Linked DNA regions of Drosophila melanogaster. The protein of the gene in region 1 interacts with the protein of each later gene in a biochemical or structural test. Each region holds a gene or a part of one and is shown in the gene's direction. Other genes may lie near its edges.

The links. Proteins that work in one complex are often made in the same cells at the same time.
Region 2: the proteins of Myb (region 1) and bon form a complex in vitro, tested with the Drosophila melanogaster proteins (one study listed by BioGRID).
Region 3: the proteins of Myb (region 1) and lin-52 form a complex in vitro, tested with the Drosophila melanogaster proteins (one study listed by BioGRID).

The regions. Positions count from the first base shown.
Region 1 is NC_004354.4:15,852,935-15,861,752, reverse strand, and holds Myb (Myb oncogene-like), read left to right. Parts: upstream 1-3,929; 5' UTR 3,930-4,076; exon of another isoform or gene 4,077-4,139; 5' UTR 4,140-4,225; coding exon of another isoform or gene 4,226-4,579; 5' UTR 4,580-4,648; coding exon 4,649-5,963; intron 5,964-6,027; coding exon 6,028-6,686; 3' UTR 6,687-6,921; downstream 6,922-8,818. Other genes in the region: AlkB, read left to right, coding at 2,444-2,560, 2,612-3,153, 3,216-3,555; CG46440 (uncharacterized protein), read left to right, coding at 4,226-4,579; CG15914 (uncharacterized protein), read right to left, coding at 7,046-7,811, 7,865-8,147, 8,223-8,307. UniProt on the Drosophila melanogaster protein: DNA-binding protein that specifically recognizes the sequence 5'-YAAC[GT]G-3'. Component of the DREAM complex, a multiprotein complex that can both act as a transcription activator or repressor depending on the context.
Region 2 is NT_033777.3:20,591,167-20,598,072, forward strand, and holds the start of bon (bonus), read left to right. Parts: upstream 1-1,972; 5' UTR 1,973-2,677; coding exon 2,678-2,878; intron 2,879-6,906. Other genes in the region: Pus1 (pseudouridine synthase 1), read right to left, coding at 1-445, 510-786, 842-1,327, 1,391-1,430.
Region 3 is NC_004354.4:5,750,956-5,756,994, reverse strand, and holds lin-52 (lin-52), read left to right. Parts: upstream 1-2,036; 5' UTR 2,037-2,110; coding exon 2,111-2,150; intron 2,151-2,205; coding exon 2,206-2,379; intron 2,380-2,453; coding exon 2,454-2,558; intron 2,559-2,638; coding exon 2,639-2,793; 3' UTR 2,794-3,346; downstream 3,347-6,039. Other genes in the region: CG15771 (uncharacterized protein), read right to left, coding at 791-940; CG15772 (uncharacterized protein), read right to left, coding at 3,347-4,126; Rtel1 (regulator of telomere elongation helicase 1), read right to left, coding at 5,441-5,653, 5,722-5,931, 6,017-6,039.

The DNA.
Region 1 (8,818 bases):
GGCGTCCTTATGGGATGATTTGGTTGAGGATTCGGTTTCAAATTCGGATTCGGATACGGATACGTATTCGTATTCGGAATCGGATGCGGGAATCGGCTAGCCGGCTTTCCAGATAGATCCTTCTTTGTGCGGTCGGTCGGTCGGTCGTCCAAGTCGATTCGATTCGATTCGCTCTTGTTAGATGGTGCTATACATATGGGGAAGTAGTAAATGGAGGCGTTCATTAACCTAGTTATATGGTCAGTTGTGGGTGTACTTACGCTTACTTTTTTTAAGCTGGCCAGTAGCTTAGTCGGATAATGAGCCTTGGATGATCACGCTTGCATACGGCGTTTATTTTGTGCACTTCTAGTATGGATAAATCATGAACTGTGTTCTGCAAGAGTTGGTTTTTTGCTTTTTAGTTGACTTTTTTTCTTTTTCTGTTTTATCGTATAGTACTATTCACGGATTATATTCTCGGTACGATGTCCATTAATTTCTGACTTTAGTTCATAGTCGTCGTCCTGTGTTTGCTCTGCCAATTTAACTATTTGGTTTTTCAATTATTTCTTTTTTATTACTTTTTGTTTGGTATGTGCGATTGGTGTATTTCAGACCTCTGCAGAAAGTTCTTCGCTTGTTAAATACACATAAACTACGTTAGTGGGGGGGGAGAGAGAGGTTCCTATAGTTTTTTCGATTTTCCGTCCCGTCTGATTTGTAATTAGGATGTTGGGCGTTTTGTTTAATACAGAATGTTATCTCGCGGATGGGATGGTATACTAAAAAAAAAGAGGAAACCGAATTGGATGCATAAAAAGCGATCTGGTGCTAAGGACCAGAGAAAATGCGAATTTTTTGATGTGATTTATGCTTTTTATGTGCTGGATTTCGAATTCCGTTCTTCCGATAGATGGGTAGGATATATGGGATATATTCCTTTTGCTTTTTTTGTACACCAAAATTGCAAGTTTTGCACCACCACCGCGGCGCAAGTGGCCCTTTCGATTGGAGCAAGGAGCACGACTAGTGGATGCGAGCCGTGCGCAATTGAAAGCGCGGCAGCGAAAGCAGGTCAGAAGTTCCCGAAAGCGGGCGGTGAGACAAAAACAGTCGCGGCAATCGGTGTCCCATTCGCACGCGCAGCAACCGCGTAAGCGTACACATGACAAAGAGCAGGAGGGAAATAGATAAAAAAAAAATAATCAATTTTAAACGTTGAACATTTTTCGTTGGGAAGGCACTGGCACAGGCACAAAATATATGGAGCTCATTTCATTTAATTTTCCATGCCGACTGGCAATCGTTTAGAAAAAAAAAACAACCAAATCTGTGCAATAGTCATACATATATGTAGGCGCAAAACTATCGAGACTGCATTTTCATCACTCGTCGTTCAGCGAGTATGAAAAATTTTTTTTTCCTTTTAGCACATACACACACATTACCATAGATCAGTAATTTTTCTTTCAATTTTCATTCACTGGACAGTTTGTTGATGACGACAATACGTTACTTACACGCAGTGTTAACTTTTTATACGCAAAACAAATTCCCGTCTTCAACTACACAAATAACTGAAAATTTTGTTAACGAAGCCACCAATCTGTAACTTTTCATTTGCACTCTACAATTGGCAGCCAACACCTAGAAACAAATTAAGGGTGCAAGGAAGCAGTATCGATGTATGCGGATATCGATAGCATTGATACATATTCGGCAGCCAGGCTGTTCACACTGCGGACGGAGAGAGCCGGCAAATATACCAACTTGTCTTTATTTATTCAAAGTTTATTTGTCAAAAGACGTTATATTTTAAAAACATATTTTATTTTATATAAACAATGTGGTACCCCTTTCTTTTGAACCGAATATAGTATTAAGCACGCCCCCTCACATGAAAGTAAAATAACTACAACATATATAAATATATAAATATGTCATATAAATATACCATTTTCTTATTTCAACTCCTTTTTTAATATTAATTCATAAAAATATAAAAAATAAAGATCTATTATCGCTCTGAAGTGTAATGTTCCCACTTGATTTTTTCCTGTGCAACCCTTAAGACGTATCTTCGACCGAAATAATGAAAACGATCACTGCAAAAACGTAAACAATGAAAAAATCGGTCTCAAAACAACAAAAATATTTCAAAATAGTTAAAAGTCCCGTTCATATATCGATAACTTTATATCGATAAGATTAATCACAAATGAATCACCTCATGAAAAAAGGCTTAAAATTTTTTCCATGAAAAGGACATTCGAGCTTTTTCGGCAATGTCTCTTATGAATTGCATTCATTTTTAATTTTTATATCTATCCCATAGTATTTCCACCACATGTCTGATTTCTAAACGTGCTCAAAAGCATTTAAGATTTCTCCAAACGCAGTCACACTATTGCTATCGTTTATATTAACTTATTGTTTATATTGTACTTATTGTTTATGAAGCATGTTCAAGCTAGTTTTTAAGCAGTACAAGTGCAAAAGTACCAGTCCTGATTTAACGGAAGTTGTTAAGATCGATGATTGTGTAGTCAAGGGGAATGATCAAGAAAAGAGTGATAATGTAAGTACTCGATCCGTTGCAATTGAATTATGATTTCTACATTCCCCTCAGAATATTGTTCAACGATTAAGTATCAGCAATGTAGAAAGCCTACAGACAATGCCAGGCGTTAAATCGCCAAAAGATTGGCGAACCTATACATTAACTAACCATCCCGGCATTATTGTGATTCGGAATCCATTCTCGGAACGAGGCCGGCGTTATTGGAGCGCCCGATGTCTGCGGGATTTTCCGCGAACGCCAAATATAGTCAATTTAAATGAAAGGCTCTTCGATGAATCCGTCAGGTCGGACTGGTGGAAACAGCTTAATCTGTGCAGCGATGGCGTTGAGTTCCAACGTATAAAATCCGCGATGCGTTGGACGACATTTGGATATCATCACAACTGGGACACGAAGATCTATGATGAGGAGATGCAGTCGCCGTTTCCCGAAGATTTGAGCAGTCTATGCGGATTGTTTGCGCAAGCGTTGGGATACGCGGATTTTAAGCCAGAAGCCGCAATTGTAAATTACTATCCAGTTGGTAGTACGTTATCGGGTCACACAGATCACTCTGAACCAAACAAATCGGCCCCTTTGTTTTCTTTTAGGTAATATATCACGGATTAAACATATCCGTGCAGCTAATTTTTTTTTAATTTTATGCTTACAGTTTTGGTCAGACTGCAATATTTCTAATTGGTGGAAGATCTTTAGAAGAAAAGCCAACCGCTATCTACCTTCAATCCGGGGACGTTATGATAATGTCCGGAGAATCGCGTCTATGCTATCACGCAGTTCCTCGTATCATCAAAACTCAGGCTTCCGCGACTTTATCACTGATAATTGAAGATGTCGATAATGCAGATATTAAAACGCGTACAATTGATAAAGATTTATTTCATGATGTTGGCAACCCTCAATTTTGGGAGCCTTTTTCGAGATATATGGACGATTCACGTATTAATATTAATATACGTCAAGTTTTAAATCCAGGAGATGTTAAGCTTTAACCCCTCCTTGGAAAAATTTTTAATTTTATAGTATTTTACAAAATAAAAAACTGCATTTCAATTGAAAACTAAAGAAACATAGCAATTAACGTTGAAGTGATGCGTTCAATGGAAATATCTTAAATGTATAGGTGAAGTTAATAGTTTTATAAATATATTTTTCAGTCCCTATAAATGCTACTGACAACTAAATTTGGCAATTCTGACAAAATTATTTTATCCGATGGCAACTTTTTAACAATATTTCCAAGAAGTTGATAGCTAAATATCGATACTATCCCAGCTATCGTACAAGATATTGACTTCTAGTGGAAACGTGCCGATTACCGTAGTGATTATTTATCGATAGATTTTAATCGTTTTGAATTACAACGCTAGTGCTCGTGTAACGGTCACACTAAGTACTACATTTAATATAATAAGATGCGACGCCGTAAAATTCCAGTGTGAAAACGTGAATGAACTGATCAAAAACACCAAAGTGTGTACCCATAGCCCAGCAGTTTGAATTTGAAATAACGGTAGCACCACTTTAGATGAAGACAAATGTGCGAGTGGTAATTTTTTTCCCCCGTTTTCCTCAGTGCTAAATATAGAGCATCAAAATGTTTGGCATAAACGTAATATCGTAAAACTTGCATCTGCTTTTTAGTTCGCTGCCTGAATGAGTATGTCCACAAATATCTGTAATCTTCAAGTAACAAAGAACACGAATCCAAACCAAAATCGCCTCGAGGAGCAGCAAACAAAACTATTCGATTTTGGGCGGACCGAGAGCGATGCGACGCACCCAATATTGCGCAGCGATCATCAACGTGAACTGGTCGACTGCCTGACGTGCGGAAATCAATTCAAGTGTAACTCGTACAGCGACATTTGCTCGCACTACATATTCTACCATCCGCATATTCTGGATCATTTGCCCAAGTGCTTGTACTGCAAACGCGACGTTCATCGTTTCCAGCGTGGGAACAAGTCAGAGCCGGAGATCTATCACTTTTGTTCGCCCCGCAAGCAGCGTTAAAGAACCCATACACATATATACAAAGAGCGCCATTATTCATATATATATACCTATAAAGTTGATCTTAAGATGGCAAGTGCGAGCACTGAAAACGGCGAGGAGCTGATGAATTACGGCAGCAATTCGGATTCGGAGGAGTCCGAGTACTCGGAGAACGAGGATACCCAAGTTTGCGACAAGGATTCACAACAGAACAGCAATGCCGATTCGGGCTATCCACTGGACTCGCCCGAACTACAGGACTCCAAGACGACGGGGCAAAAGGGACAGAACAAAAGCGGTAAAACTAGCATCGGTGCAGTGCATCCGAACTATGGATTCGGCAAACGCTGGTCCAAGTCCGAGGATGTGTTGCTCAAGCAGCTGGTGGAGACGCACGGTGAGAACTGGGAGATTATCGGACCGCATTTCAAGGATCGCCTGGAACAGCAAGTGCAGCAGCGTTGGGCCAAAGTCCTCAATCCGGAGCTAATCAAGGGCCCGTGGACGCGGGACGAGGACGACATGGTTATTAAGCTGGTGCGCAACTTCGGGCCCAAGAAATGGACACTAATTGCACGATATCTGAACGGACGAATTGGGAAACAGTGCCGCGAGAGATGGCACAACCACCTCAATCCGAATATCAAGAAAACGGCCTGGACCGAAAAGGAGGACGAGATTATCTACCAGGCTCACTTGGAGCTGGGCAACCAGTGGGCAAAGATTGCCAAACGTCTGCCCGGACGCACCGATAACGCCATTAAAAACCATTGGAATTCAACAATGCGTCGCAAATATGACGTCGAACGCAGATCGGTTAATGCATCTGGTAGCGATTTGAAGAGTTCGCGAACCCATCTCATCACGCTGATCAAGTCCGGTGGCATCAGCAAGTGTATGAATAATATGCAACATAACAAGGAATCTGGTGGTGAGGCAGTTAATAAATCCGAAAACGCCGATGGCGCTTCGGTTACTGCCGTGAAAGGTGGTGATCTGGCACAGGAATCACAAGACGATCATCAAAAGGGATCCAATCTGGCACACCTCAGTATGCAGCATCTCATTAAGTTGACCATGCCGCGCCAAACACCGATCATATTGAAGCGTACACGCAAACACATTCCCGAAACTCACCATCAGGCAGGATGTTCATCAAGTGAGACATTCAACCAGGAAGAAGCCGCCGGAAACGCCAGGTCGCGACCACCGAGTTCGCCCGTCATATCGCCCATTAAGTCGCTACCCTTTTCACCGAGTCACTTCCTCAAGTCGCCTTGCCTGACCACCTTTGAAGATATGGATCTGCGGGCTAGCACGCCGGTAACCAAGGTCTATAATCGCGTTGGAATGGAGATCAAAAAGGAAATGGAGACATCGTCGATAGAAACTCCACACAAGAGTAAGTACAAGCCACTGTTGGCTTCAAATGCATCTTGAATACACACAATCATCGTTATTTGTAGGTCAACTTGGACCACGAACACCAACGCCCTTCAAAAAGGCACTTGCTGCCATCGGCAAGAAGAGGGACGGTCGTCGATACGAGCCCTCCAGCCCATCCAGTCTGGTGGAGGATCTGGCCGAAATCATCCATGAAGAGCATCTGAGCAACTCGCTGACCGCAAACAATTCCAAAATGATGGGCGCCGCCGATCAGAACTCAACGCTAAGCACCGAATACAATGCTCAGTCGCCGCCGCATATGAAACGTGCCAGGAAGTCATTGCTCTCAACTTGGAGCTCCAATCATCCATACAACGCTGGCTCCGCCAAGAGGATTCAACCCTTCGAAACCGAGACGCCCAGCAAGTTTCTCACATCGCCGGGCGATATTTTGAAGGACACGCTGTGCAGCGAACAGGACCTGCCGTTCGACGAGGGCAGAAAGGAGAATCGACCATTCCATAATCGCAGAATTAACAAGTACCGCGGTGGCTTGACCTACGATCATGTCATTGATCCCAAGTGGGCACGCGTCGCTTGTGGCAAGTCCAGAGATCAAATGTTTATGGAGGAGCAGGCTTATGCGTGCCTCAAAAATCTGTCCTGTATTTCGCGCTCCCTGAACTTCGAGAAACAAAAGTGTTTGGTGAATTCGTTCGACCGCTTTGGTTCGCTCTAAATTCTATGTGGCTATATTCAGGTATTACAAACAAAATTCTATACGCATCATCTTTATAATATTGTAGATATGAATCCCCAAATTTTCATCCAAATTGTGTTTTCGAAATAGAATTTATTGTGCTACATTTATGGCATTATTGGTTACATCCACCTTAAATTGTATCCCATTTTTTTCGGATATTTCATAAATAAATAAATGCTTAAAGTGAATGAAGCGTGTTTTAACACAAAGGACTTACATATATATATCGTTTTTTTTTGGCTTTGTAGGTTACAGAAGAGAGATATATTTATTCAAAAATATATCTATTATATTACAGAGAATATTTTGATAGACATTTGCCAAACCTTCGATTTCTAACTTTGTTCGTCTGCAATATGTTTATTGAATATGTCCAGATATTTTGGCACTAGTTCTTTCGCCGAAAAACGATCGAAATTAAAGTTCTCAAAGAATTGATCGCGCTGCTTGCGAAAGACCCTCGGCATTCTACAAAAGTTGTAGAGCTTCTTCGTCAGCGCATTGGAGGTGTTGTAGAGGTTTTCCTTTGGGTAGATTTCCGGGTAGACCAATTTGTTGGGCGCAATGGGATAACAGCCGCAGAAAGCGGCCTCCAGCATTGCTACTCCAAAAAACTCATGGTCGGCAGTTGATATCACAATGTCCCCAGTCAGCAGGGTCTTCAAGTACTCTTCACGCTCCAGATGGCCAAAGTTCACCAGCTTGCTGCCCAGTTTCTCCTGTATATGCTCGAATTCCTCCGGTATCTCCTGGTAACTCTCGCCACAAATAGTCACCTTGAAGTCCACTTGTCGCTCATGGAGCTGACAGAGCGTATCCACCAGTAGTTTGGGATTCTTATCGTGCTCCCAGCGATGTGGCCAAATAAGATGGATGCACTTCTCATCCAGATCCTCAGCAGTCTCCCCCTTTACGCACTCCTTCCGAATGGGAAACCGTTCGAAATTGACGGGAAAGTACAGCACTTGGCATTTCTTCTCGATTTGCTCGCGAATATGCTTGATTTTAAAGTCTGGCTGCATATTCAGAAAGGGCTGAACATTATCCAAAAACGAGTTGCAGTTGAATTGGGAATTGAAGAGCACCATGTCTGCGGCAAGACTGAAAATGGATGGGTTATGGATGCAAGTTGGGTATACAGGATGGTCACCTACCAGGAGAGTATCTCATTGAAACCGTATTGACAATCGCGCTGCTTCACCTCGCGCACCGGATAGATCAGCTGGTTCTCGTGGAAGTAGACGATCTTCCGGCAAGCGGCCAGATCCGGACGCAGACCAATCAGCTCGGCCAGGCTGAGCACGGAGCTGGCGAAAAGCACCCGGAATGCGTGATCGCGCGGAATCAGCTGGGCGAAGTGGAGGGCAGAGGTGCGTGCTCGCCAGTGCCATTTCTTGGCGGGAAGGCTGAATATCTCGCTGTCGCCATGGTTGAGACCTACAAATTGGATGATAAGTTGGAGTGAAGTTTGTATGTCTAGTTGTAATATTCTAAGTATGTATATATGTGTACCCTCGATCAGTGCGCCGATCAGCTGTTTGTGACTGCCCCCGTAAAACGGTTCAATAATCAAAATATGCGGCTTTGCGCACGACATGATAGACGGTCTTGGTGTGTGACCAGAGTGAGTGACAATTACCAAATATATTAATTATTTTAAATGTTGTTTATTTTTGAATTGATCACTACACAATTTATAAAACATTTATTTAACATAATTAGGCTAATTAAATTACCCCAATTGGTTTAAAATAAACAATGAAGGGTGTTGTTTTTATCAGCTGTTTGAATGCACAACCTGTGCAATGCGAAAATATACCGACCAGTGGAGAACGCCTCGAATTGGCTGTTCACGTCACTCGCACGCTGGTCACACCGATTTTGTAAATGCAAAAATTGAGTATGTATAAGTATTTACCATCGTGTCGTTATAGGAAAATTAAAAATTGTGTCATCTCGGACCAAGATAAATGTTGAAAAGCAAACCAAAGTGAATCATAGGTATATTGTAGATAAAATCTTTTCTGACTGCTGATTATGCCAACAATCGAAGCTGAAAACTTAGCGCACGGGAAAAAAAAATCAAACGCGAAAGTGCTTTTTTTTTA
Region 2 (6,906 bases), on another chromosome or scaffold:
GTACGAGTGATAATGCAATGTTCCTATCCAGTCGAGCATGTTACGCTGCTCGGCTTCCGTCTTATAGATCTGGCTAAAGATCTCCCTCTCGATAAACTCCTGGACTTGCGCCTCCTGCGCCTGCCATGTCAGCGGATTGTGGATGCCGTCCTTGCCGTAGCGATCGTTGTAGCGCTCGTAGTGCACTGTGTCCAGCACGAGGCCCAGTCCAGGGGCCATCGGCAGGTCCAGACGCTCCTCCGTCAGTGCCCGCTCTAAAGTGGCCGCCGTCGTGTTCCCCCTTACAATGGCAATGGCTAGACCCACCATCTTGCGAATCTGGTGCAGCATAAAGCTCTGACCCTTAACCTTAAGTGTGACAAATTCGATGTCCTGGGGACTCCGGAATGGCTCGCTGCTCGTAAAGGACATGATGAAGCGCTTGGACGAAGGATCCAGAAAGCTTCTACAAGGGTAGTAAACAAAATATTAGTTGGAGCAGAAATGAAGTATAAACCTGGCTTATTTACTTCTTGCTGGTGAAGTTGTGGAAGTTCTTCGTGCCCTCGTAGAGCTTCAGGGTTTCTTTAACCTTCTGCAGCAGCTCTGGTGAAATCCGGAAGGTGTCGTGCACGTCGTCGACCTTTTCCTCAAACGGAGCAAAGGCCACGGTGGGCAGTGTGTAGGTGTAGGTCCGAGCATTGCATTGATCCTTGGCATTGAAGCCCTTAGTCACGCGTTCTACGCCAAACAGACGGATCTGTTGCGGCAGATCGGCATTGAAGGCCTCCAGGTCCAGCTCCTCAGCTGCAGGAAGGAATAGGTTTAGTATTGTCTTGTAAAATAGAATAAGTAAACTAACGCAGCTTGACGGAGCACACCTGGCGGGCGGCGGAGACGCCCTTGTCGGTCCTGGCCGCTCTTTGGAAACAGGAAATCTGAATCTGCTCAAAGCTGTCCTCTGTAATCCACTTGTGCTTTAGCATGGCTTTGAAGAGCTCCTCCTCGATGGTCTGCATGCCGGGATTGCGCTGCATACCATAGTAGTTCGCACCGCAGTAGCTAAGCAGGATGGCGCTCTTCTTGCGCTTGATCCGGTCGGCGGGATCGAACGGCGCTCGCTTCACGCCGTTGGCGGCATCCTTCTCGTCCTGCTCCTTCCAATCGACCCATTTCTTGCGTTTAAGTGTTCTCTTGATGCGGTTGGCGTCCTTCACGGCTTCGCCCTCCAGTTCTTTGGCCTCTTTCCTGGCTTCCTTCTCCACCTCCAGTTTATCTAGAGCCTCTGACATCGCTGCGGCGAAGGATTTGTGGCGATTCCAGGGATTGCAAAGGGTTTTCAGGCGAACTATTGTAAGAAAATTAATTATTATAAATTCTCGAATTGGAGGTGTGATCACTAATAATTAACCTGCCTTGGTGTAGTCGTTTAAAAGTCGTCTTAAAAACATTAAGTAAACAATTCTGGATTTAAAGTGGAGGAATTCACACACGTGTGGTTGTGCTTCTTCTTCTTGCTCTGTTACGGATCAGCTGTTTTATTTAACAGCTCTGTTTGGCTAATACAAATATGTTTTTTTCGAAAATCGCGTTCTTTGAATTAGCTCAATAATTAAGTTGAGTTTCCGAAATGCTACTTTTGATTTACTTAAGTTTTAAATTAGCTGTGTGGAGAAAAATGTTCAAAGCTTTACGTAACGTTATGACTTAACAGAACGAAGACGTTACAAGTTTATTTTAAAAATTATGTTATATTTTACTATAACCTTTTAATACCAGGCTAAGTTATTAGTTTTAAATTGTAAATAAATGGCATCTTGACCATGTATTACAACATTAATATGATTTTTTACGAAATGAACGGCGAATTCAATTGTGGTATTGCCAGATCGCGTGTTTAGTGTGACCTCAGCTGCTTACGTTTCCACGGCCGTGCGTAACAGCCCTCGAAATGCCGTCGTACTGGCAACGCCGACATGAATTAATTGAATCCAAAATGGCTGAACATTTTTTGTACAGAAGAAGCGTCCAACGAGAGCAAACGCCGTGAGACCGTGTGTTTTCGCAGCGAATTACGCCAATAAAACCGCACTAAGAGCGCGCTCGCAGCGCGAATAAAGAATAGCAGCCGCGTATGGACGAAATGCGGCACGAATCGCTGGAAAAATCGACGGCCAGACCGAAAAATAGCAGCGAAATTCGAGCGAACGTCGTGTATAAGTAAAACGAAAGTTGTGTCGCTCTGTGCGAAAGAGAGAGGGAGAACCCAATATTTTTGCAAGCCAGAAGTCGAAGGTGAAATTAAAATGCATTAGCCACCCAATTGAAGAGGAGTCAACTACGAACAAAACTTTAAGAATCAGCGAAAAATCGTTTGTGAACATCCATACAAGCACAAATCGTTGTTTTTGCCTGCTCTCGTGTAGTTCCTGTGTATTGGTGCGCGCGCCCTGTGTGTGTTTGTGCGTGTGCGTGCGTGTAAGCATTGGAATGGATTAACTACCCAACTAATTCCAAAACAATAATACCGCAACATAATCGCAATAGTCATGCCGTTTCAAGGCGACAGCCTTTAGGGAAACATTCGGTCGGTCGGTCAGTCAACCAAAAATCAGTTGCTATAATTAGCACGCCCACGTTTTAATTTCAACGATCGCCAGCAACCGCCTACGCGGTTAAATCGCAGGACTTCGCCAACATGGATATGGATTTGGAGCAGCTAAAGAACGACTTCCTGCCGCTTATCGCCGGGATCAAGCAGGAGCAGCTGGATGCCGTGCCCACGGATGCCCTGCCCCAGATGAGCACACCAAACACGGCCAGCGGTGCGCCCACAACCTCGTCATTGAGCTCCTCTTCGCTGAGTCTGAGCAACCCCTGCGACAGTGCCGAGAAAAGGGTATGTTGCTAGTCCGTATCACGCGTTCGTTACCTATAAGCTAACGCCAAGTTGAGGTTAGCTAAAGCCGCCTAATCACACGTGCTCTTGCGGCTGATAACAAACAGCCGGCTCAATACACATATTCCCCTGCTCTGCGCAGTCTGCTCAGTGTAAACTTTTGTTTTGGTTGGATTTTGATGCGCTCGTGCTGCGTCCTCCTTATCAAGCGTTTCGAATCGAGTCTCGTGCAAAAAGCGTTTGTTATCTTTTTCCCAGGCCAAGGCAAACAAAGCAGCGTATTCACACAACCAAACAAACAGCGCGCAATGGCAAGTGTTGTTGTGTTTCACTTTCACGGCCCAGTCCGAGATCTTACAGTGAGAAAAACGGCGTGCACTTTGCTCTATTTTACAGTATATGTGTATATATAGTTTTCTATTATTTTAAAATTAATATGACTATGCAGTTTTAATCTTGGATATACCAGTTAAGATGTAAGAAATGTGATGTTATCGAACGTTGAATCAACTTTAAAATTAGTTCTAATATACAAATTTTTAAGTTGTTATATGAAAAAATGAAAAATAATATACCAACTTAATGCAAGAATTTAATTAAATTAAAAAAGGTACAAATTAAACATTAATTATTAGCTTACTGATTGAGAATTTTTTTTTTTACTGTGTAGTGAGTTAGGGTCTCGTGCCGATGGTTCTCGATTCCCCTATGAGTGCGAGCAAAACAAGCTGTTTCTAGACAGTCGCTACCTCGCTTTCACTTACGTGGAAGGGCTAAGTCAAGATGGTCTCCCTCTCTTGCAATTGCAGATCAGCTGCAACATGCAGCTGCCACTCTCCAGATGAGCGGCAATAGAGTGTGTGTGGTTGTGTGTGTGCTCTCTACTGTGTTTTGTTTGCTCTCCGTCGTGCTTGAGCTGCTCTTTAAGCTACAGTGGAACCCAAGTAGATCATCCTAGTGGAAAGCTTGAACATAATTGTCCTGAAAAATAAAAAAATACTATAATATTTTAACTACTTCAATCTAAAGAATTATTGAATTGCTTTTACACCTTTTTGTTTATTTTCATTGTATTAGTTACTTACTGTACAGCCAGATAACTTGCCTTAACTGAACTTCCAATATAATTTTGGGACATACAGAATATAACTACCTTATTTTCAACGTAAATTGGGCAATTTGAAAGTTTCATTTAACACTAACATTATGAATTAAAATCAACGGCTTGTGATTACAATAAAACAAAATTAATGTTTTTCACAAATGATAACCGCTTTAGATGACACTAATTGGTCACGATATTTTATTATGTGTGCTAAATAAAACAAACACGTTTTCATGTATGTAATTAAAAATTCGAGCTCTAACTTTCTATGCGGCATGTGATACTTCTAGTTACGGAAGCCTGACTGTATGAAAGACTCAAACTTCTCCTGCAACCGTGCAAATAAATGTTCGCCTAGAGTGGGCCTTTTGGAGTGGCCACTCTCTCTTGAACCCCAACCAGGGATTGGGAATGACATGCACTCATTCAATCCGTCCCTCAATCATGCAAACGGTTGTGTTTGCTGTGGTCGTTGGGGGCACTTAAGACCCCCAGACTCCATGCCCAGTCCCCCCCCCCCCCCCGCCTGAATCCCCTCCAGATCACTTAATGCCCATTTCTGATGCGGGCAAACTATCAAGTGGAAAGTACTTCGCCGAGGCAAGGTGTGGAGTTCAGAATGGATGATGATGGGGATTTCAAAGGAATAGCTTTTAGATTATTAATCCTGTTAAAGATTTTCATACATGCATGTACATAACTACAAAACAATCTGACTTAAGAAACTGCCAAGCACGGAATAGTTAAATAATTAATATGAAAAGAATTATCAAAGAATTATTTATGATCCAGTAAGAATTATGCGATCCTTTAGATTTCCTTTAGATTTGAATGCTAATTCTTCTCTTGACGGCATTTTTTTCCTTTTCATCGAGTAAATTATTCTAATTTATGCATGACTTCACAAAACTAACTGTACCTACTCATGAATACATGGAATACATGATGTCGTTAAGTAACTTTTATGGGCGAAAAACATAATAAGAATTTCTCAATAAAGAGAGAAGACTTAAAATTCACGGATAATTTTTTCCTATATATAGTAAACAATGATACCTCTGCTCATATTAAACTCAAATGATTATTAATTTGTTTTTAATTAAAATTAGCTTGAAAGGTTTTATACATTCATAAACACAAGGTCTGCTTTTGTGGAGACTTTCTTTTTTACCTTTATACTTCCGATTCGGTAAAACACTCAAAATCACTGAAGCTTAACTGAAAAGAGAAACCTATTCATTTGTAGCTCCTGTCAAAATGGCGGGTTTCGGCATTAAAAGTGACAGCTGATGGGGAGGTTGCCGCTGGCGGGCATCCATATGTCATCTCAAAAACACTGCACCTAAATGCATTTTCCTACCCTCCATGAGGCCATATTTAATACTCCCATAAATACGTATGTACGAACGCTTGTCGTACATACATATTCATGAAGTCATGTCTTTGTGTGTTACCCCATGCATGCGACAGGTTGTAATTAAATTGCTTGACATCGGAATAAATGAAAACCCAAAATCGTACGACGCCATTTTGTGTTAGATACCGACGAGACCCGAAACGAATTCTTAGAATCCGCCTTTAATGATGTACAATTAACTTTAATTTGATGAGAATATGCAAGCAAAGCAAAACGAGGAGAAGGCAAAGTGCCGATGGCCAGACGCCGGTGCTAGGAAACCCCAGCCCCCAAAAATAAAAGTCGTTAAATGCACAAAAAAGTAAAGTTTCTAATTAACTTGATTACCCTGAAATAAGGGCGGGTAGATCTTGGAAAATGACTCTCTTTTCACTTTACTCGAACTACCTGGCATTAATGCAGACATCGGGATTTTAAAATGCTGGGATTTTATGGCATCTATAGTCAACCATCCCCTTTGTGATCCGATTGAACGAATTTAGGATTAGAAATAATACTCTATACTCTAAACTAGGTAATTGTGTCAAAGCCAATATGTGCATTAAAGATTTTCTGATTTAGTACGCTCAATGTCAAAATAGATATTCAACATATTTTTGAAGTGAACAAGAGAGGTCGCTCTAGTCTATTCTCGTTACTAGTGTTTTATTTTCGAGTTCGGAAAAAAAATTTTAAAAAAGATTATATGTATATTTGTTTTACTGTCTACTGTTCTTTGTACCTGTTATAAACTTTTAATCTTATATTAATAGCTTTTTGTTATTTTTAGGAGAAAAACCATCTTGGTTGATGTACATTTTATAAACTCTCTCAGTTCCGAACTTATTGTTAATAACGTTTAATTGGAACAAACCATGAAAACATGTTTTTTTCTAAAATGTTAACAGCTTTATAACTTGAAAGGTGGTTCCATTTAGGGACGTTCTCCTGTTTATCCAGGATATACACATTTTAATTGCTTTTCCGGGCAGTCGGTGGGCGTAAGGCCGCCCTAATCCATCCATCGACGTCCAGTGCGTAATTAAAGTTGACTGCGACTGCGGGATCAGTGCGGATGGATGGAATCGGATTGGAACTGAAAAAGGGAATGGGAGTGGTGTAGTTGTAGGTGTAGATGTGGAAGTGGTGCTCGTTGGCAACATGTGTACGCTGGTCGCACTCCTGTGCGGGGATTAGGTGCTACACAGGACATAATCCGATCACAAAAAGCGGATTATAACGCACAGCAACAAAAATGGTGCAGTCGGGCGGCCGTGGCAAAGGGAAACCGAACTGACGCCACTTTAAAAGTAGAGCGTTTCTGTCAGTGGAGGGGAAATGCAGAGGGCAAAGTTTTATAAGCTGCATAAGTCCTGAGAAGCGAGTCTGTCTGATTTCCTACCATCCTACGGCAACAGACAGCAGATGTAAGCAGATTTCTGAGCTGCGTCAGCTTGTTCAGCTGCCGCCTTGGCATGCCCCCAGATACGCCTACGCCCAAGTCCCGGTACCATCCATATCGGTTAT
Region 3 (6,039 bases), about 10 Mb from region 1:
TTCTCTCTTGAAGGGAAAATTCTAAAAACTTTAACCTTTTAAGATCGCAAATAGACTCATTTATTGTAATAAATAAAGTCAATGGCCTCTGAACGTTCAAACAAGTACATATTGCGAAGTGCTACCTATTATCATCAATTAACCTTTAGCTTCTTTGTGTGCCATTCACTTTATAAGAAGGTTATATTTCAAAAGAAACCATTGACGCGGGTTTCCAAAGTTTGTTGGTATGACGTTTCGTTCAACTTTTGTTAAGTGCAAGTTCCTCGATTTCCGACCTTTTTGCAATCGTTTGCAATCGATAATGCGCACCACGATAAGATCCTGTAAAGTGCCTTTTAACATTTCGAAAACCGAAGATTCCGAATTTCCAACGTAATGCCGATTATTTAGTGGGTTTTAGCCTTCTAAAGTGCATGTACCCGTGGTTATATTTAAGTTAAGACCTTGTCGAGTGCACTCTGAGTTTTTCTTTTTTGTTTTTTTTTTTTTTGTGGCTGGGGGATGTGAAGGGAAGGGAAAGGAAATCAATCGGAACGCAAATAAACAATCGAAATTTCGGGCGCGTGCTATCTGCCGAGCGTCCGGGTTTTTTCGACTACGTAACAACGGGCGGGCTGCAGTGGAAAATTTTCTAGCTGGGTCGCCCGCCTGCTGCGCACTTTCACCTCCCCCGCCCCGCCCCCCCACAAACACTACATGGAAAAGAAACGGAAGAAACGCCAACGGATTGGTGATTGGCAGAGGGGGCAGTGAGGCTGTCTGCCTTGGCTTGGTTAACAAAGCTCACCTTTCTGATCGCCTTGGAATCGCCGGCTCTGGTGGGAATCAACGTGTTGTCCAGGTCAAAGTAAAAGGCCCTGATTTTCGCACATGTCGCATCGAAATGTGAATGTGTGGCTGTCAATTGCTTGCCGCAATGGAATTTGCTAGCTGCCATGAGAGTCGTCGAGCGGAGGGGGGGATGGAGGGTCAGCGAGGGGTCACTGTCAGGAGTGGAGGGGTGGTAGCCGGTTGCTTGGTTAGATGGATGGATGCAAACGTAGAGATCCAAGAACAACTTTGGTGCAATTCAATCCGCCAGCGGATTTGCGCTTTGAAATTGGCGCCAAACGAAACGAAACGAAATGTACGAGCTGCACGACTGCAGCAGCACTGCAGTATTTTTCTATTTTCCTCGAGCGGACTGGCAAAAGTTTCCGCTTCTCGCGCGGCGAAGTTAAAACGGCAACTGAATGACAGCGACAAAAAAAATAATGAAACGGAACGGGAGCGGTCGCAGTAATGTCGAGAGACGGGGTAGCGGGGCGGCGGAACAGGTGAGCGCGTGTGTATGAGTGCTTGTTGACTGAGTGAGAGCGGAGCAGCGAATGAAAAACCGAAAGAAAGTGCGAGGGCGCATGGGAAAACAGTGGTGGCCAAAAGTCTGCGTATGCGAACAGTGCTACCAGGCGGCGGCGCCAATTGATAAAAACTTGATAAGATATTGTTATTCCTTAAGATTTTATATTATTATTAAGATGTTCTTGAATAAGTTTATTTCAATAACTGGTTAGACATCCGTGTTGTGTTGTTCTGGACAACTACTGCGCAGCACATGTGCTTTTTACGGGCACATATTTTTTGGCGCCACTGTGCGAAGTGTGCCAAGTGCCGTTTGCGCGCCAGAGCGAACGAGAGCAGGCGACCTAGCGCAGAGTTGTCTCTATGCGCCGTTAAACGACCGTGAGTGGAAAAGAGAGCACGATAGAGGTCGCGGAGAGGTTCGCGTTTCTCTGCTACGACGCCTGCTCTCCACTCTGAATTTAGTATAAGTCGAGGCACGCTCATTTCCTAATTGTTGTGCCATTTATTTTTAACTTCTATTAATAAAACCAGGAAAAGCAATAACAACAGTTCTTTGTTTACCAAAAATATCAGTTGTTTTATACTTCCTGGTGCTTTCTAGCACTGGCTTGGCGGTAAATCGATAGTATTCGATAGTGATTGTTGAAAGTGGCAACGCTATAGTTTTTGTTTAACGAGGTGGCAAGTGATTAGCCCACGGATTTTTTGGCATCTTTCCGTGTTTATTTTCAATAGTTTTTGGAGTTTTTCAACATTATCCGCGATGAGCAACGCAGAGACAACTACGGATTTGCTTTCTACAGGTGAGTAAATATTTAAATCACATGAAAGGCGCCATAAAACGAGGTTTTCTTGCAGAAACCATTCTAAAAGCGGCGGACGAGGAAGTGGAGAAGGCTTCAGCGTCCAGCAGTAGTACGTTATTGGCCGAAAAGGATGTCCCGGAGGTCAAGGAGCGGCCCATAACGCCGGAAGACGAGCTCATCTCCATGGAAACTCTGCGACCCTCACCTGTCCAATGGCCAGAGCGTTGTAAGTGTAGAAAACGTGAGCACGAAGAAATTGGCGCCATTTTTAACGCATATCTTTATTTTCGATTGCTCCAGTTCCCGGAATGGACGAGTTCCTCTCCATGAGCGACACGCCGATGTACACGCGCAGCACCAACTACACCAGCAATCTGACCGATGATGATATGGTTAAGATTAATGGTAAGTAGCTGCAAAGTCAATGAGATTTAAGAATAGTATATTAAAGAATAGCATATCCATTACCTACTTTTCTATTCCAGAACTAGCCCAGCTCCCTCCCGAGGATCTGATCGATAAAATAAAGTCAATGCATGATGAAATTTACCAGCTGGGACTGCGTGAGGCAATGGAGATGACTCGTGGGAAACTGCTGGGCATCTTTGACCGGGATCGCGCTCCTAAGCGGCAGCCATGAGGCTGGATGATCCGATCCCTAAGAATGGGACTGTCGAGGATCTCGTTGAATTCGCATTAGGAACATAGGTGTAGTTTCATAGTGTACATAGTGCTATTTTTATAGTGAGTAATGCGTGTTGTGAATGATTTATCGCTATTTTACAAAGATAAATAGGCAGGCGTTTGAACAGTAACTAACGTTTATTTCCATTAAAGCATTTTGGGTCCTACACGTCGCTTGTATTACAGATACATTTGAGGAGTCGGAGGAGAGATGAAGTTGACGGATTGGAGGGAAAGGAATGCAGAAGGATCTGGAGTTTTTGGAGAAGGCACAGTAGATTTCGCTATGCAGGGACATTAACGCAACAAATAACTCTGTCTATGTGGGATTGGATGGATCGGTTGCGCTCTAGTGCGTCCTATTAATACTTAACTAAATGCTTTCGTTCGGATTTATGCAGTAGCCTTCCCCACGATCCATCCCAATTTGGGAAAGTGTGTTGGTGCTGATGGTGTGCTTACATGCTGTTTCCCGTGAATATATATCCAGTAACGTGCATCAATTCCCATTACTCCTGCCACTGCATTCCGAATCGCTGCTCAAAGGTGATCCGGTTAAAGACGCCCGCATCGGCCAGCTGCAAGGGATCGGTGTAGTACGCAAAACGCCGTATATCCAGCATGGCCAGGTCGAACATTTGCTTCCAGCTGGTCAAATCTGTAACGCTCATGTGGATCGGCAGCTGGGGATCCGGTATATCGATGGCCGCCTGCAGACGGTCAAACGCCTCGGCAATTGGTCCCACCGATAGATTAACCCAGTACTCCGCTGGAAAGCGCTTGTTCTCACAAAACGGCGCTCCCTTGCGCATGATGAAGACCAGCATGAGTATCTCATAGCGCTCGGAGCTCTCATAGAAGCGCTTGGTTCGGGTCTTCTCCACGAAATCGATGAGAAGGATCAGGGGAGTGTAGTTCTGGAGGTGCATCAACAGCTCCCGGTCGGTCCAAAGGTAACGGCCGCCTTTGACGGTCAGCAGGCTCATGTTGCTGGCGAGTTGTTGATGCTGCTGCTGCTGCTGTTGCTGCTGCAGCTGGTGGTGTTGCTGCTGCTGAAGGTGTTGCTGTTGCTGCTGCTGATGTTGGTGTTGCTGCTGCTGTTGCTGCTGGTGTTGCTGGTGCTGCTGCTGCTGGTGTTGCTGCTGCTGGTGCTGCTGGTGTTGCTGCTGCTGATGCTGCTGGTGAATGCCGCCGGCGGATGGGGCTGGAGTTCCGGTGTTGGATGCCACCTGGCTGGGCATGGCGACCACAATGCCCGTCTGTCTCTGGCAGCCAATCTCCTCCACCATGTGCGCTGCAATGACGACAAAATGCATTTAAGGCAAGTGCCTAAACCAGGCCAAGGTCGCTGCGTTGGCCAAACACCCAGCCACCCCCTGCCCGCCCTCATTATTACTTGTTGCAAATAGCGAGCAGCGAAGAGCGAACGTGCAGCAAGTCAAAGGCTATGGCAATTGCAATTGCAATCAACTTACTGCGTGCCCCAATCAAAGCGGCAGAAATTATGTGTGTATTTATGAGGCGGATGGATCAGCGGGTCTGGATTTGGATCGGGGTACGAATGTGGCCCCCAAGAAGCAGCGGCCTATCTCCTCCGGCAGCTCTGCGTGTTTGCCGTGCGCCCTGGACGATTGTTGCCACGCGAGTGCCTTCCCAAGTCCGAAGTCGGAGCCACTCGGACCCGCATTCTCGTTGCACTCGGGCTCAGTTTTCTCGGTGACTCGGTCGCGCCAGCCGATGGGCATGTGTGGATGTGCATATAGGGACTCGGCCCGTTTGGCAATGAACTTATTGGATGCGTTCTGCGCTGGCTGCGGTTCGCAGATTTGTTACCAAGCGGGCTGCCAACTCTAAAATGTATGCCCCCCAAGCGGTAGATTAAAAAATAAATGTGAAAAACATATATGTAAGCAGTCTACAAAAAAGTAATTTTATGTTTTTAAGACAAGAACTTAAAAGTCTTAGCATTAGTCAATTTCCTATGATATCTTATCTATTTATCATGCTTAAAAATATATAAAATAAACATATATTGTACATATATATATATTATTATACAAATTGAGTTCATATTTAAATACGATATGTAAGATTTGAAGAGTTTTCGAGCACCCTGTTCTATTCGCCTTTGATTTGATTGAAAGCTTATTAAAGCTCATCAGCTTATCAGCAAACGAAATCGAAGTTTGATGCACATAAAAGTGGTATTAAATTTCCAATAAAGGTAGACTGTTGATTTAAGTCAACCTTGAGCGGTAAATAAATAAACAGATTGGGAAAACATAATGCACATAATGCAAACGGTTTTGAGTAACTGCATTTGCATTTAATATGACCCCACATTTTCCCACAAAGCTATAAACAATATCATGATTAACGTATAATTTTTAATAGTAATAAACATCCGTACAGAGAAATTCAAAATGCATGTACAACAATGCATAGCATTGTTAATAATATATATTCTTAGGAGAATTAGACGCGCCCCACTAAATACAATCAGAAAATTACAGCCAATGTCAATAAATTTGAAAAAAAAAAAATAACATATCCTTGGGACGACTAAACTTGAAAACTCTTTTACATAGTCACCTAACCCTTTGTTAAAGATTGCCCACCCTACGATCAAACTCGTCCTTGTGCTCGTTCTTTAGATACTTCCGCATCCCGACGAGCATGTAGCGCACTTTGGGTGCGGACAGGACATCCAGGAGTATGGCCATCAGGGCCTGAAAGCTCTCATAGGTGCCATTCTTGTACTCCAGCAGCGCCTTGCCAAAGCGGCGGAATTGATCTTGGGTGACCAGGCTGCGTAGCTGCAATTCAAGGTAAATTAATTAGTAGTAGTAGTAGTAGTATGGAAGAAGTCTCGAAGGTATCTCACCTCCCGGAGAAACGCGGCCCTTTCCTCGGGTGCCTCCTTAGCCTGCGAACTACTTGGCTCCACCTTGATGTTCTCCACCAACTTGTATCGCTTTTTGGTCACCTGGCTGGAGGATTCCGGCGCCGTTGGTGAGCTTCGCTCCCGCTTGTGAATCTTCACCAGACCAGAGGAGCCACTTTTACTATCTGTGCAGCAGTTGAAATCGATACTCTGGGAAAGGGGCAAAACAAGAACAAGTCCTAAAGAACTAAATAAACACAGTGTAATAATAGATTCATGGGAATCTCGTGTTTACCGAGACATTTGAGTCCAGTCGAC